3 linked regions of the Oryzias latipes genome follow. The protein of the gene in region 3 purifies or fractionates together with the protein of the main gene of each other region. This does not show direct contact. Links are inferred from orthologs where the notes say so. Each region holds a gene or a part of one and is shown on either strand. Other genes may lie near its edges. The genes, in order: ppp1r11, ppp1r7 and ubxn2a.

Evidence for each region.
Region 1: the proteins of ubxn2a (region 3) and ppp1r11 purify together in Homo sapiens (affinity purification with mass spectrometry; 3 studies listed by BioGRID and IntAct, counting the BioPlex papers as one, with this or other methods). This does not show direct contact. The link is inferred for Oryzias latipes from reciprocal best matches to the Homo sapiens genes UBXN2A and PPP1R11.
Region 2: the proteins of ubxn2a (region 3) and ppp1r7 purify together in Homo sapiens (affinity purification with mass spectrometry; 3 studies listed by BioGRID and IntAct, counting the BioPlex papers as one, with this or other methods). This does not show direct contact. The link is inferred for Oryzias latipes from reciprocal best matches to the Homo sapiens genes UBXN2A and PPP1R7.

The regions. Positions count from the first base shown.
Region 1 is NC_019869.2:21,521,641-21,525,780, forward strand, and holds the start of ppp1r11 (E3 ubiquitin-protein ligase PPP1R11), read right to left. Parts: upstream 2,843-4,140; 5' UTR 2,590-2,842; coding exon 2,509-2,589; intron 1-2,508. Other genes in the region: vars2 (valine--tRNA ligase, mitochondrial), read left to right, coding at 3,550-3,756, 4,053-4,134. UniProt on the Homo sapiens protein: Atypical E3 ubiquitin-protein ligase which ubiquitinates TLR2 at 'Lys-754' leading to its degradation by the proteasome.
Region 2 is NC_019875.2:24,809,941-24,813,316, reverse strand, and holds the end of ppp1r7 (protein phosphatase 1 regulatory subunit 7), read right to left. Parts: intron 3,334-3,376; coding exon 3,229-3,333; intron 3,122-3,228; coding exon 3,035-3,121; intron 2,553-3,034; coding exon 2,376-2,552; 3' UTR 559-2,375; downstream 1-558. UniProt on the Homo sapiens protein: Regulatory subunit of protein phosphatase 1.
Region 3 is NC_019882.2:2,952,699-2,956,808, reverse strand, and holds the start of ubxn2a (UBX domain-containing protein 2A), read right to left. Parts: upstream 2,803-4,110; 5' UTR 2,678-2,802; intron 2,335-2,677; 5' UTR 2,316-2,334; coding exon 2,278-2,315; intron 1,986-2,277; coding exon 1,874-1,985; intron 1-1,873. UniProt on the Homo sapiens protein: Acts to repress the ubiquitination and subsequent endoplasmic reticulum-associated degradation of CHRNA3 by the STUB1-VCP-UBXN2A complex in cortical neurons.

The sequences.
Region 1 (4,140 bases), on a different chromosome or scaffold from region 3:
AAGGTTGATGCCATCATCAACCTGCTTATTTGCTTTGTCCTGCATGAAAGCACTATGAAGTGCTTGTGTGTACTAAACACGCCATACAAATTGAATTGCTTTGCTATTAGGGTTCTCTGTGATATCAGCCTGCAGCCACTGGACTCAAAGCAGCACGGCTTCCTGAAGTGAGAAATCACGCCTGGAAATCTGATAGAAAAACTAGTTAGAAAAATTGAAAATTTGGTGGAGAGTTTTTTTTTTACATTTTTTTTATAGGAGCTGGGTCCAAATCCCAAAGGAACCTACTCACAGAACATGATTTGTTCTGTGACGAAAGCATCTGACCCCCAAGAACAGGGGTAAAGCATGTTTAAACTTTCCTGACTTTAACCCTGAACTCTGGCTGAAATCCGCCTGAACTTGCTTACTCTGGGTATGTCGGTTCCAAAAGACCGGATATGAGTTGGCGTAATTACGCTCGACTTGGTAACCCTGGGTTAATGCTCGTGCACCTCAAGTACAGAAAGACATTCTCAGTGGATCGCCGATTTCCGGAGTCACCATGGAAACGCGTGGAGAAAAAAGAGAGAGCTATACTTCAGTGAGACTGAGTCTGAGATTTTAATGAAGGGGTAGATTATACGGCCATCAAAAGGCACTACGGGTGCATCGGAACGGTGGACAAATCAAACGTGTGTGTATATATATATATATCCCGTAGGAAAAAGAAAATGTTTCTTTTTGGGAACGGTATCCCACAATTCCTTGCGGTGCCGATTTAACAGCAGCACCAAAGTTACACCTACTTAATTGAATTAATTTGAATGAAAGTAAACTAACTGTTTGATAACTATGTGTTATTTTTAAGATGACCTAAATACATAATTTATCTTAACTGAAGCAAAATATTAAGTTAGATTAATGTAAAAAAGTTTATCTCTACAACATCCATACGTGGTCTTATCACCCTCTCTCGTGGAAAAAGAATTATCTGAGCTTCTTCATCCACTAAATCATCTTCAAATGGACACGTCATGCTGCTTCACCTCTCTGAAAACAAACTAACCTTCAACTAAACCTGCTCCAGACCAGGTTATGTTTAGAGCATAAGTTGCCATAGCAACTTGACATACCTTGAAACATACCTCCTTTTTTGGAACAGAAAGCTGAGGTTATCCGCTTCCTTAGCCTCAAATTTACAGTGGTAACTAGCATAACCTGCTTTCTGGAACACACCCCAGTTCACTCTCAAATCTTGAACACACAACATCTGGCCTGTTTACATGGGTGAGCCATGGTACCGTTCTCTGGACTTCTGGCCCACATTTTTGGTACAATTGTGCCATGAACACAAAACGCAATAAAGGAATTTGACAACACATAGGGACCCATCAGTCCTGTGTACAGGGCAAACATGAAACTTATGCCGCTCATGTTATGTAGCCCCTTCTGGTTAGCTTAATCTCTTCTGTCCTCAAAAAGTTAATCTGAAATCACAACAAAGTATCAAAACCTTTTCTTTAAAGAATTTGGGTGAGCTTTCACACTTGCCAAACAAAACATACCGTACAGGTTAACCAACTCAGAACAAACCTGCAAATCTGTGTTTGCAAGCAGACCAGGGTTCAAACAATGACCAAAAGTCCCAGTGTTCACGTGTTCCAAAAGGGTTTTTGCTCTTCCAGATTAATTCTAAAATTCTAACTACCTGTCTAAAGAGCGAATGCACAACTGAGATGTGAAATCTGCAAAAAAGCAAACAGCAAATCTTTTTAGTTCAATGGGCTGAGGGGGCCCTTCATGGCCCCCATTTATTCATCTACTACAGGGCTGCCCAATCCTGGTCCTCAGAACCCACCTACCATCCTGCTTGTTTTCCAGTTTTTTCTGCTGATACGCTGACTTAGGCGTCTCCTCCTTCTGACTGACTGAACACACCTGCAGGGAGAGCTGGAACACAGGCAGGGTGTCAAATCTCGATGACCGGGATTGGGCAGCTCTGATCTAGCACATCCCCACGGATGCTTGACTAGATTACAATTTTGGGAAACTTGAAAGGCAAAGCCATCATCTACAAATCTAATGACAGCCCATCTGACTTTAACAACTGAAACACTTGCTTTAGTACTTGGAGCCATATTCTCTGATGGCTACACTAAAATGGCTGTGCATATTTTAACCCAATCCAATATGTCGTAAAGTCCAAATATATTTGACTAAGCTGCTACTCGTCCTTAGTTTTTGTTGCCAGTGTGGTGCTATAAATAAAGAATTCCTAAATAAATGCACAGAAAGAAGTGATAATTCCACCAAAATATGCTAATTCCAAACCCATTCGTGGCTACAGTGATGCCCCACACACAATTAGCTCGATAATTAAGCCGGGAGGCCTTGTGAAGAGACTCCATCCTTCTCCAAGTCAGAGGCGGACTACAGACGTAGCAGCTTGGCCTCGCAGAGCCGCCGTCATAAACACAACACAACAAGAAGACCCTGAGCCGAACCATCCCACGATCCTTTCTTTACCTGCTGCTGCTGCGTCGGGGGGCTGGTCTGGACAGTCTCTGTGATGGTTTCACTTGATGTCCCTGGTGGAACCTCCGCCATCCTGTAGCAGCGCTGCTAACTAGCCCGTTAGCCTCCTCTCAGAACCGAACCAGCCACCGCCCCTAGCAACGGATATGACGCTGTACCGGCGACAAAGACGGAGCGAAATAAAGAAACACGGGTTTAAAAAGGTAGCAATGTAAGCTTAACTTGGCAAATGTCCCAGCAGAGCTGTAGTGCACCCGATTCAAGTTACACAACAAGTAAGCTCAGACTCAAACGGAAGAGACATTTGGCAACAGGAACTGGGCTGCCGTTTTTCAAAATAAACTGCCCAGTGTCTTGCATTTTCATGTTTACGCCCAGACCGGAGAAGACATTTCCTGACCCTACCTTCATAGACTGGAGATGCACGATTGTCGTGGTCGTCCCCCACCCCCACCCCCCAGCAAGTTAGCTAGCACCAAGTTTGAAGTGTTTTCTTAAATACGTCGACGATTGAATCATACGACCCGATCCGATTTTACGTTTACCGACTGTTGTAAATGTGCTTTTTTCCCCCATTCAGTTAACGTTATCATCAAAGACTATTAAAAATTTACATAAGATCCTGTAGACGCAGGGACTTCTTCTGTGAATGTGTTAAAAAGCTAAGTAAAAAAATCACAAGCAAAATATTTCACGATTCATTTTATTTTGAAAAATGACTTTTGTTTATATCAGTGGGGAGTGATTTTACAAACGTACTATTTGTCGACGGTATATCCGGTCCGTCTGGTATTTTTGTCCCCACTCTCAAACGAGAACCAATCGAATCGGAAGTGATAGGCGTTTAAATAATACTTGTTGTTTTGTTTTTTGTTTTTTTGCTGTTTTGAAAGCTTATTTGGCTTTGATGGTGATTTTCAAATCTCCAATAAGTTTGCGACATGGTGACTATTAATTTGTGGTTATAATGAAGCTCTCAGCTGTTTGGCAGCTCCCGCTTTCGTGGTTTCCGGTTTTGACACGGAGGTAAAGATGTGGAGGACAGCGTGTCTGTCCGGCGTGAGGCGGGCGGTAAAAACTCCGTCTCGGCTCTGTTCTGTTTCGCCACAGGGTCTGTCATGTCCCCTGTCTTGTCACTACTTCCTCTCCTCCTCTTCTTCCACTACGCGGCCCCGCGCGGAAAAACGGAGACGGAGACTGGAGCGAGAGGAGGTCATCCTGTCAGCCGAGCAGCAGCCGGTATGCTGGAGAGGTCTTATCCAATGGATGTTAAGAAAGGAAATTAAGGAATAGATGTTAAGAAAAAATCAAGGAATTTGCCAGTCTCTTTTTAAACTTTTTTTGGTGTGTGATTTACTTCCCCTCCTACCGTTTTGGTGCAAAAATCAGTGACATCGTTTTTTAAAGTTCTTTGCAGGGAGACACCTGGAAACCAGCCTGGCTTAGATATAAGAGTCAATGGTTTTGGAGCTTGTCTGTGAAATAAATGTCAATATTGGTCCATCTGTGCTAATATAACTTTTTGCCTCTTTTAGGGTGGTGAAGGTAAAGTGGAAAAATGGAGCCAAACACAGGAGGTCGTTTACAGAGACCTAACACCTCCTGGGATGAAGAAAGGTGACT
Region 2 (3,376 bases), on a different chromosome or scaffold from region 3:
TTCCACAAAGCAAAATAAGACTTGAAAAGTGTAATGATAACGGTTTGAAGACCCTCTCCAATGAAAATCGTGCACTTGGTGTTTGAAATACATATATAAAATGGTTTAAGATCAGAACTGCATTTCTGAGTACTTCTTTGTTCAAATATAGATGGATTATGAACAGATAAAAAAATGCAATTAAAAAAAAGTTACATAGCTAGTTTTTAAACTTTAGGTATTAATGCCAAGAAAGCTTAACATAAAAAAAACCTGATGTGACAAAAGCTGTCTAAACGAGGTTTATTTTAAATGCTCACAACTTTGTGGATTTAACCAATTTGAGAAACATACTATAGTAAAAATATAGCACAGAAAATATTACTACAGATTTCATTCATATAATGTACATAAAAGTCAGTTGTGCACCTTCTACACAATATTAAGCTCTTATCGGTACCAATGTCAATCAAATAAGGTCAGAATTTTGATCTTTGTCACAAATTAAGGCATAATCATAAACCTAAATGTCAAATTAGGCTTCAAAATATCTTTGACAATATAAAACCACACAAAAACTTGCCCTTTCATAAGTGTCACTTTATTATTTGCATAATACATTCAGTTCAAAAACAGCATTAAATAAGTAAAAAAAATTTGAAACTAAGATAAAAAGCTGAAAGCAGTTTCTGTAAATTCTCTTCGAGTTGCAACATCATCTTTATCTCAATTTTGACATCACACAAATTGGTTAGACTGATTGGCAGAAACAAACGTTTACAAAGGGAAGATGATAGCACAGGCTTAAGACGTGAGAGGTGTAATCTACAGGTTTTTAACTCCACGCTCTTATATTTCAGATTCCTAGGATCAGTTCCAAAATTTAAAATAAAAGGGCATATTCATCAGGCGTATTGGAAATGCATAACTGTCTTTAGGATAGTCTTTTAAAAAGCCCCACCTGTTATACATCTAAGAATTAAAGCAATAAATTGAGATTTAAATTTGAGTAGCTGATTTCCTTTTCCTAAAGTTCTAGGATACACAAACCCTTTTTTTTAATGTTTTGAAATGTCGAAGTGGTTCCAAATAAAATAGTGCACTTTCCACCTCTGCCTCTAGTGCATCTCTATATTAAGTGACCTCTCAGCTCAGAGTTGTTGAATCATTTCTACATAAAAAATGTCTTAAACTACATTATGAGCACTGAAGCATTCTACAATGAAGACTGCAGAAATACTGTTTCCAGCGAGTCAAACCAACATTAATGGGTCTACGATAAAAACACAGCATGAATACTTCAAACCAATTCTACAAGCCAAAAATGAGCATGGACTGGTTTATCTTACAATGGCTAAACAAGAGTTCAGTCCTGGAAGAAGAAGATCAAAACAAACAAACTCTACATTCAACTTGTGCTTCACAAATTGCATGTTCGAGTCTTTTCAAAAGCTGAGGTGAAACGAAGAAAAGCGTGTTCAAAACTAAAATGCAGCCACAAAAAAGACAAACCACTGAACCTAGAAGCACTGCATTGTTTTACATTCTCATACGCTTTATTTTCTTACAGAGTCGACTTTTTGTTCAGCAGGAAATGGATCTAGTAATCTGTGATCTCTTCAGGAAAAAACATGGACAAGGAGGTTGAACATCCAAATGTGCCCTTCATTGCTGCAGCCAGTTTATTAAAAGTTACACACTAGTACGTTTTTTTCCCCCCTTAAAGATAGATTTATGCAACCAATGAGGTGTAAATATGTAGTCTGTCTTAAGGCTTCATTGTGGACGTCTTACTGCTAAGTTTGATACCCTGCTCAAGAAATGTTAGAAATGAAGCAAAAACAAAACGTTATTAATAATATCCAACGAAGCAAATGTTAAGATTACATTTTAAACTACATGCAAACGGAAAAAAAAACAGCACAGAAATGAGAGCAGCATTTTCTTCCCCCAAAAGAAAAAATAAACATAACGGAGAAATCCTTACAATGACCATAATGACACGCCTAACCTGGGAATGATCATTATCCAATTTCAAGTATAGAGACTGCCTTCCTACGTTTTTGTTTTCATGGACACTGCCGGTTCGACTCTGTCTCCCAGATGAAGAGAAAAAAAGTGTGGAGGAAATATTAAAGTAGAGGGTAGTTGTTTTCATTTTCACAGTTGTGCCTTAATAAATAAAAGCTTCCACAGAGGAGCACAGATCAGGAGAAGAATGTGTGCATACGAGCATTTGCTCGGTGAGCCATAGATATGTTTTGGGATGGAATGTATATTTTACATGGAGTGACTGGGAAACGGAACGTTTCAAAACGTGTCGGAGAAGGTGGCGTGTGTGTGAGGGGGGGATGGGGGTGCACGGTGAGGTTGGATAGCGGCTGACGCGCTACAGTTTAGAATCGAATAAAGGTGGCGTCGATCTGGCGCACACTGGGCAAGGCCAGCATGATCTTTCTCCGATACTGAGGATCTTTCTGCAGCGGGTTTCTTTCAAGGTAGACTGTTTCCAGGGACTTGGCGTTCTTCAGCTCATCCAGATCTGACCAGTTTTCTATCTGGTTATCATTCATCTGTGGAGACATTTAACCAAAACACAACCATCAGTGCAATAGAAATAAACTAAGGCATTACCATTACCTGAAGTGCTGATTAAAAAAAGACACATATATACATATCATGTTTTTAACGTGTTCTTGTACATTTTCTAATGATGGGAGACACATGAAGACAATTAGGCTTAAAATTGCATATCTGATTAGTTCTCTATTCAAATCGCTGAGAATCAGGAGCAGATGAAAAAAGCTTGTAGTTGTGATCCAGGCGGCAGCAGCTAAAAGGGTTGAGAAAGTCGGCCGGCGATCGAAGGATCTGCGGTTCGATAAATTCCAAACATGATAAATTGTGTGGTCTTCTGAAGTAAGCAGGACCTGGAAGCTACCTGAAGAACCACACGCTCGCTCTCTTAGTACTAATATCACCATCTCACAGTAACAGACACATCAGTTAGCAGTGAATTTAGTCTGCAAACTAAAAAAATAAAAATGATGATTACCCAGAACTCCTGCAGTTCTGTCAGATGACTGATGTTCTCAATTTTCTTTACTCGATTGGCAGCAATATCCAGCGTTGTCAGCTTTTTCTGTAAAAAAAACAAACCAAAAAAAAGTTCAGCCTCACTTTATTCTTCAGCCTAAGAAAAGTAGTAGTAATTTTTCCTCTAAAGTTCTGTGAGAGAGTTCAACTCACATTGTTTTCCAGGCCTTCAATGACCTCGATGCCATTGTGACTCAGATAGAGTTCCTTCAGGTTGACAAGGTTCTGAAGCCCTTCTATTTTAGTAATCCGATTACTCTAAAAATACAAATACAACCAAAATTGATACTGATACTTGTCT
Region 3 (4,110 bases):
CCGGATGCTTTTTTTCTTTCTGGAGATACCATTTTCCAACATTTAGTTGACAAAAAACAAAAGCTGCAAAGAGTTGAACTCCAGGAGCTATAAATAGGAGTATTTGGTGCATGCACAACAGTCTCCATAGCATTTTTTATCAATAAAAAAACCCAGATGGCCCTCACTTCAAGAACTTCTACGCTGCAGAAGTTAGAAGCCAGGACTGCTGAATTCTGTGTTTTTAGTTCCGCCCTGCAGATTATGTGGATCAGGGGGTTCTAGATCCTGCCCAGACCTGATCCAGTGGATCAGCAGCAGATAGAGCTGAAAAAGACCAGGGATGGGGGATCCAGAGTAACGCGGTCGGGTGTCCTGCTATGAGTAGACGGGGAGAGCTCAGCGTTTCCCAAAAGATTTAGATGAATAAATCATAAAAATGGAAATTGTGTGTGACTAAATTAGTCTACAAGCATTACTCCACACTTTCCATTCAAAACCATATGCTACATGAAAGACCCACTCTGATGACAATTGTATTTTTAACATTTTTTTCTGGCTATTTGATGATGTGTAAAGTCAATTAAGCTCAAAATTGCCTTTCTGAGTATTTCTTAATTCAAATAAATGTAAATCAGGAGCAAACAACAAAAAATGTTTCAAAATGATTGTATTGGTGACGTAGAGAATACGCTGCATGGGCGGGGCCACAAGTTCCTGGATTTGTTCTAATGCATCCGCTTTCAGACAAATAGATCCATGAACGTCTTGAGCTGACTTCTGTCTTAAAAACTGTACCGCCGCAGAGCTCCAACGCTGCTCTGCTGCAGCGGTAATGTTAAGGCCTGTTCACACCGGGACGAATTTCGCGCGCGATTTTCGCCGACGTTTAACGCCTCGTGACTAAACCAAGGGCACCAATGTGAGTGTGCACACCGACGCGAAAAAACGCCACGCGTCAAAGCGTCAAAAAAAAAACGCCTCGGGTTCGTTTTTTTTTTCCGACGCGTCGCGTCGAAATCTATTCGACCAATGAGAATGGCGCTTTTGCACACGTGTCTGGAGCTTCTGAAGTTACTGTAAAACACAACTTGGGGGCGCTCAAACACAAAACTGCCTTGCTGAGCACACATACCAGCGAAGAAGATAGACGTCAAGTAGCGTCTACACTGCCGCGAAGAAATAATGACGGACATTCTATAATATCCCCGAACCAAGCAGCAGTTGGAGCTACTGATGCTTGAAATATTCATGTTTTCTTTGTTTGATTCTGACAAGCGCGTAAATACTTGCTCTCTTCTTCTGAGCGAAAAGCGACTTTAAGAAGCGTAAAGTTGCGCAGCGCCACCTTGTGTACAGGAGTATTTCTGTTTACATTAAGCGCTCGGCTCATCGTCAGCGAAAATCGCCTGGGTGTGAACACAAAAAACGTGGCGAAAAACGCTGGCGAATATTCGTCCCGGTGTGTACGGGCCTTTAGTGTTGGGGCTGTACGCCAGCAGGAGAGTGTGTAAACAAACGGGTGATGGGAAGAGGGGGCCGGGGTTGCTCCACATCGATGGTCCACACCTCGGGGGAGTATTTTTAATGAAGTGCTGTAGCTCTGCAGTAACTATGTCCTAGTAAAAGACACGGGATTTTTGATTTTGGCTAAAATCGACATCATCATAAATGAAAGAGCACGGAGAAAACAGATCAGAAGATGATGCTTAAAAAAATTACAATGTATGCATTTATTACGATGAAAATAAATAAATAATATTTTCTGTGGACATGACTGAGCTACACATGTCTAAGTGAAGACACTCCACGCATGTTTGTGGAAAATCCAGCAGCGTCTCTTATACTTTTCAAACATTTCTCCCATAATAAAGAACTGGGAACAAAGTCTGACCTTGGTATTCCCTGAAGCATCATAACAGATCTTCTCCACCTCATCGAGGAGGTCTTCAACCGAGAAACTGCGGCTCATGGGGACGTCCTCCTCATCGTCTTTACCGGCAGCCCTTCAACAAATGGAGAGGTGGAATAATGAGCTGCAAGTATCCTAAAGGGTAACTTGTAATCAGAGGGCTGAGGCTGTGGAAAATGGTGTTATTGTAATATTAGTTACAAGTGTGGATCTTCCACTTAATACCACATTATTGTGTAACTGCAGTCTATTTTGATAGGTTTAATGATCCAAAACGTTCAAGCGCACACATGCAAATGGGAAAATTACATTTTTATTTATTTTTACTGATTCTTTATTTATTTATGGGGGGGGGGTGGTGGATTTTTTTTAAGGAAAACACTTACCATTGATCATCTTTGTCATCCGTGTCATTCTCTTTCATGACGGTGTTCGTTTACCATCTGAAGATAAAACATGCAGGAATGAACGAGGCCTATAGCTACAAACAACACGCTGCGTATTATGGGATGCCCTTTATTTTTATTATTATAATTATTACATTACTACTAATATCTCGCATGTTGCACACTGAGTGACATTAAGTCACCGAGGATAATTTTAAAGAAATTGGCCGCGCGCTCATTCATCATTCTGGCGTTTTATTTGTCACTGACATTGACAAGCACGCAGACGCAGATCCCAATAAAAGCACGGCTTTAAGAAATAAAAAAAATAAATAAAAATAAATGATTAAATAACGCAGCGGAGGTTTTTCTACCACACTGAAGCCGCATTCCGATTTACCAGTTTCGAGGTTAATCCCGGGCTGCACATCCGCAGCCACAAGTTACGACCAGCTGCTCTTCTGCTGAGCAAGACCTGTGACGTCAGAGAGCCGGAAACTGGGCCAAGTTGTCGTGAAACCGGCAGCGCGCAGGCTGAGCTCAGCACTTCAGAAACAGATGATAGTCAGAGAGAGGCTGCACACAGTGTTGCCAGATTGGGCGGTTTTCCGCCCAATTGGGCGGTTTTTGTTCTAAATTTGCGGGTAAAAATAGCTTTGGGCGGGTATGCATAATTTTGGCGGTTTTAGGGTCTGTTCGGCGGGTTTTTTACACTCATGAATACATAATAACGGACTACTTTAGGCTGGGTGGCTGTTGAAGTCTTATGTTCTGAAGCTCCGTGAACGCACCAGGTAGAGACGCTTAATGGGTTCTGTCATCTAACCTGTTGTTGGGGGTTTGCCGCCCCGCCCCTCCTCTTAGATGTTGCGTTCATTAAAGCTGACACCGCGGTCGCGTGTGGGCGGAGCTACGAGCTAACGTTATGGTCTGATGGCTGGATGTCTGTGTGTATCGATGCATGGTAGACACGGAGAATGTGGAGAGATCAGGTTTAATATTTTGGAGAGTTCTACTTGGTAATCATGTTTCCATGTTTGAGTTCATGAGATCGTCCCAGAAAGTCTCTGCTTCAACTCCCGCAGAGAAAGCTACGTGTGAATCTGACGCCCGTGTTTGTTTCCATCTCTCTGACAGTTTGAAGCTAAAGCCCCTCCCCCGCCCCTCTGCCTGCTTTTCCTCTCTACCTGTTCACCTGTTCACATCCTCTGTAGCTCAGAGTTGTTTTCCCCGCGCTCCTCCAGTGTGTCCAACACAGAGAGCGCAAAATACGGTCATCATAGCAGCAGGTTGACACGGTAGTAGTCGGGGCGCTTTGGCGCAAGCGCAGCACAAGGATGGAAGAGGTTATACATAGGTTATAGCGGGTTAAGAAAATGAATGGAAGAAGGCCGGTCCGCTGAAGAAATACGCAATACTGTACTCCTTTTATTAATAGTCTGAACTATCTTTGATTTTAAGAAATGTTTTATTTTGAAAAATCACCGCATCGGATACTTAATCAGTCCAGTAGGGGAAAAAATCTACAAAAGCTGTATATTGATCTTATTTCCCCCCCCCTCCCCCCCGTTGGGCGGGTTTTTGCGGGGTCTGGCGGTTTTTAGATGACTTTTGGGCTGGAAAACTGTGACTCTATCTGGCAACACTGGCTGCACACTGCAGAGAGCGAAGTCTGATCAGCTGCTGTTCTGTCTTAGCTGACTGCAAATCTAATATAGAGGAAAAAAAAGACTCTTCACAAAAATGTTGATTTATATTAATGCTTGCATTGATATTTGGAATTTGTTCTGGGTTTTGTTTACAAACAGAGACTTTGCGCAAACATATATCTGT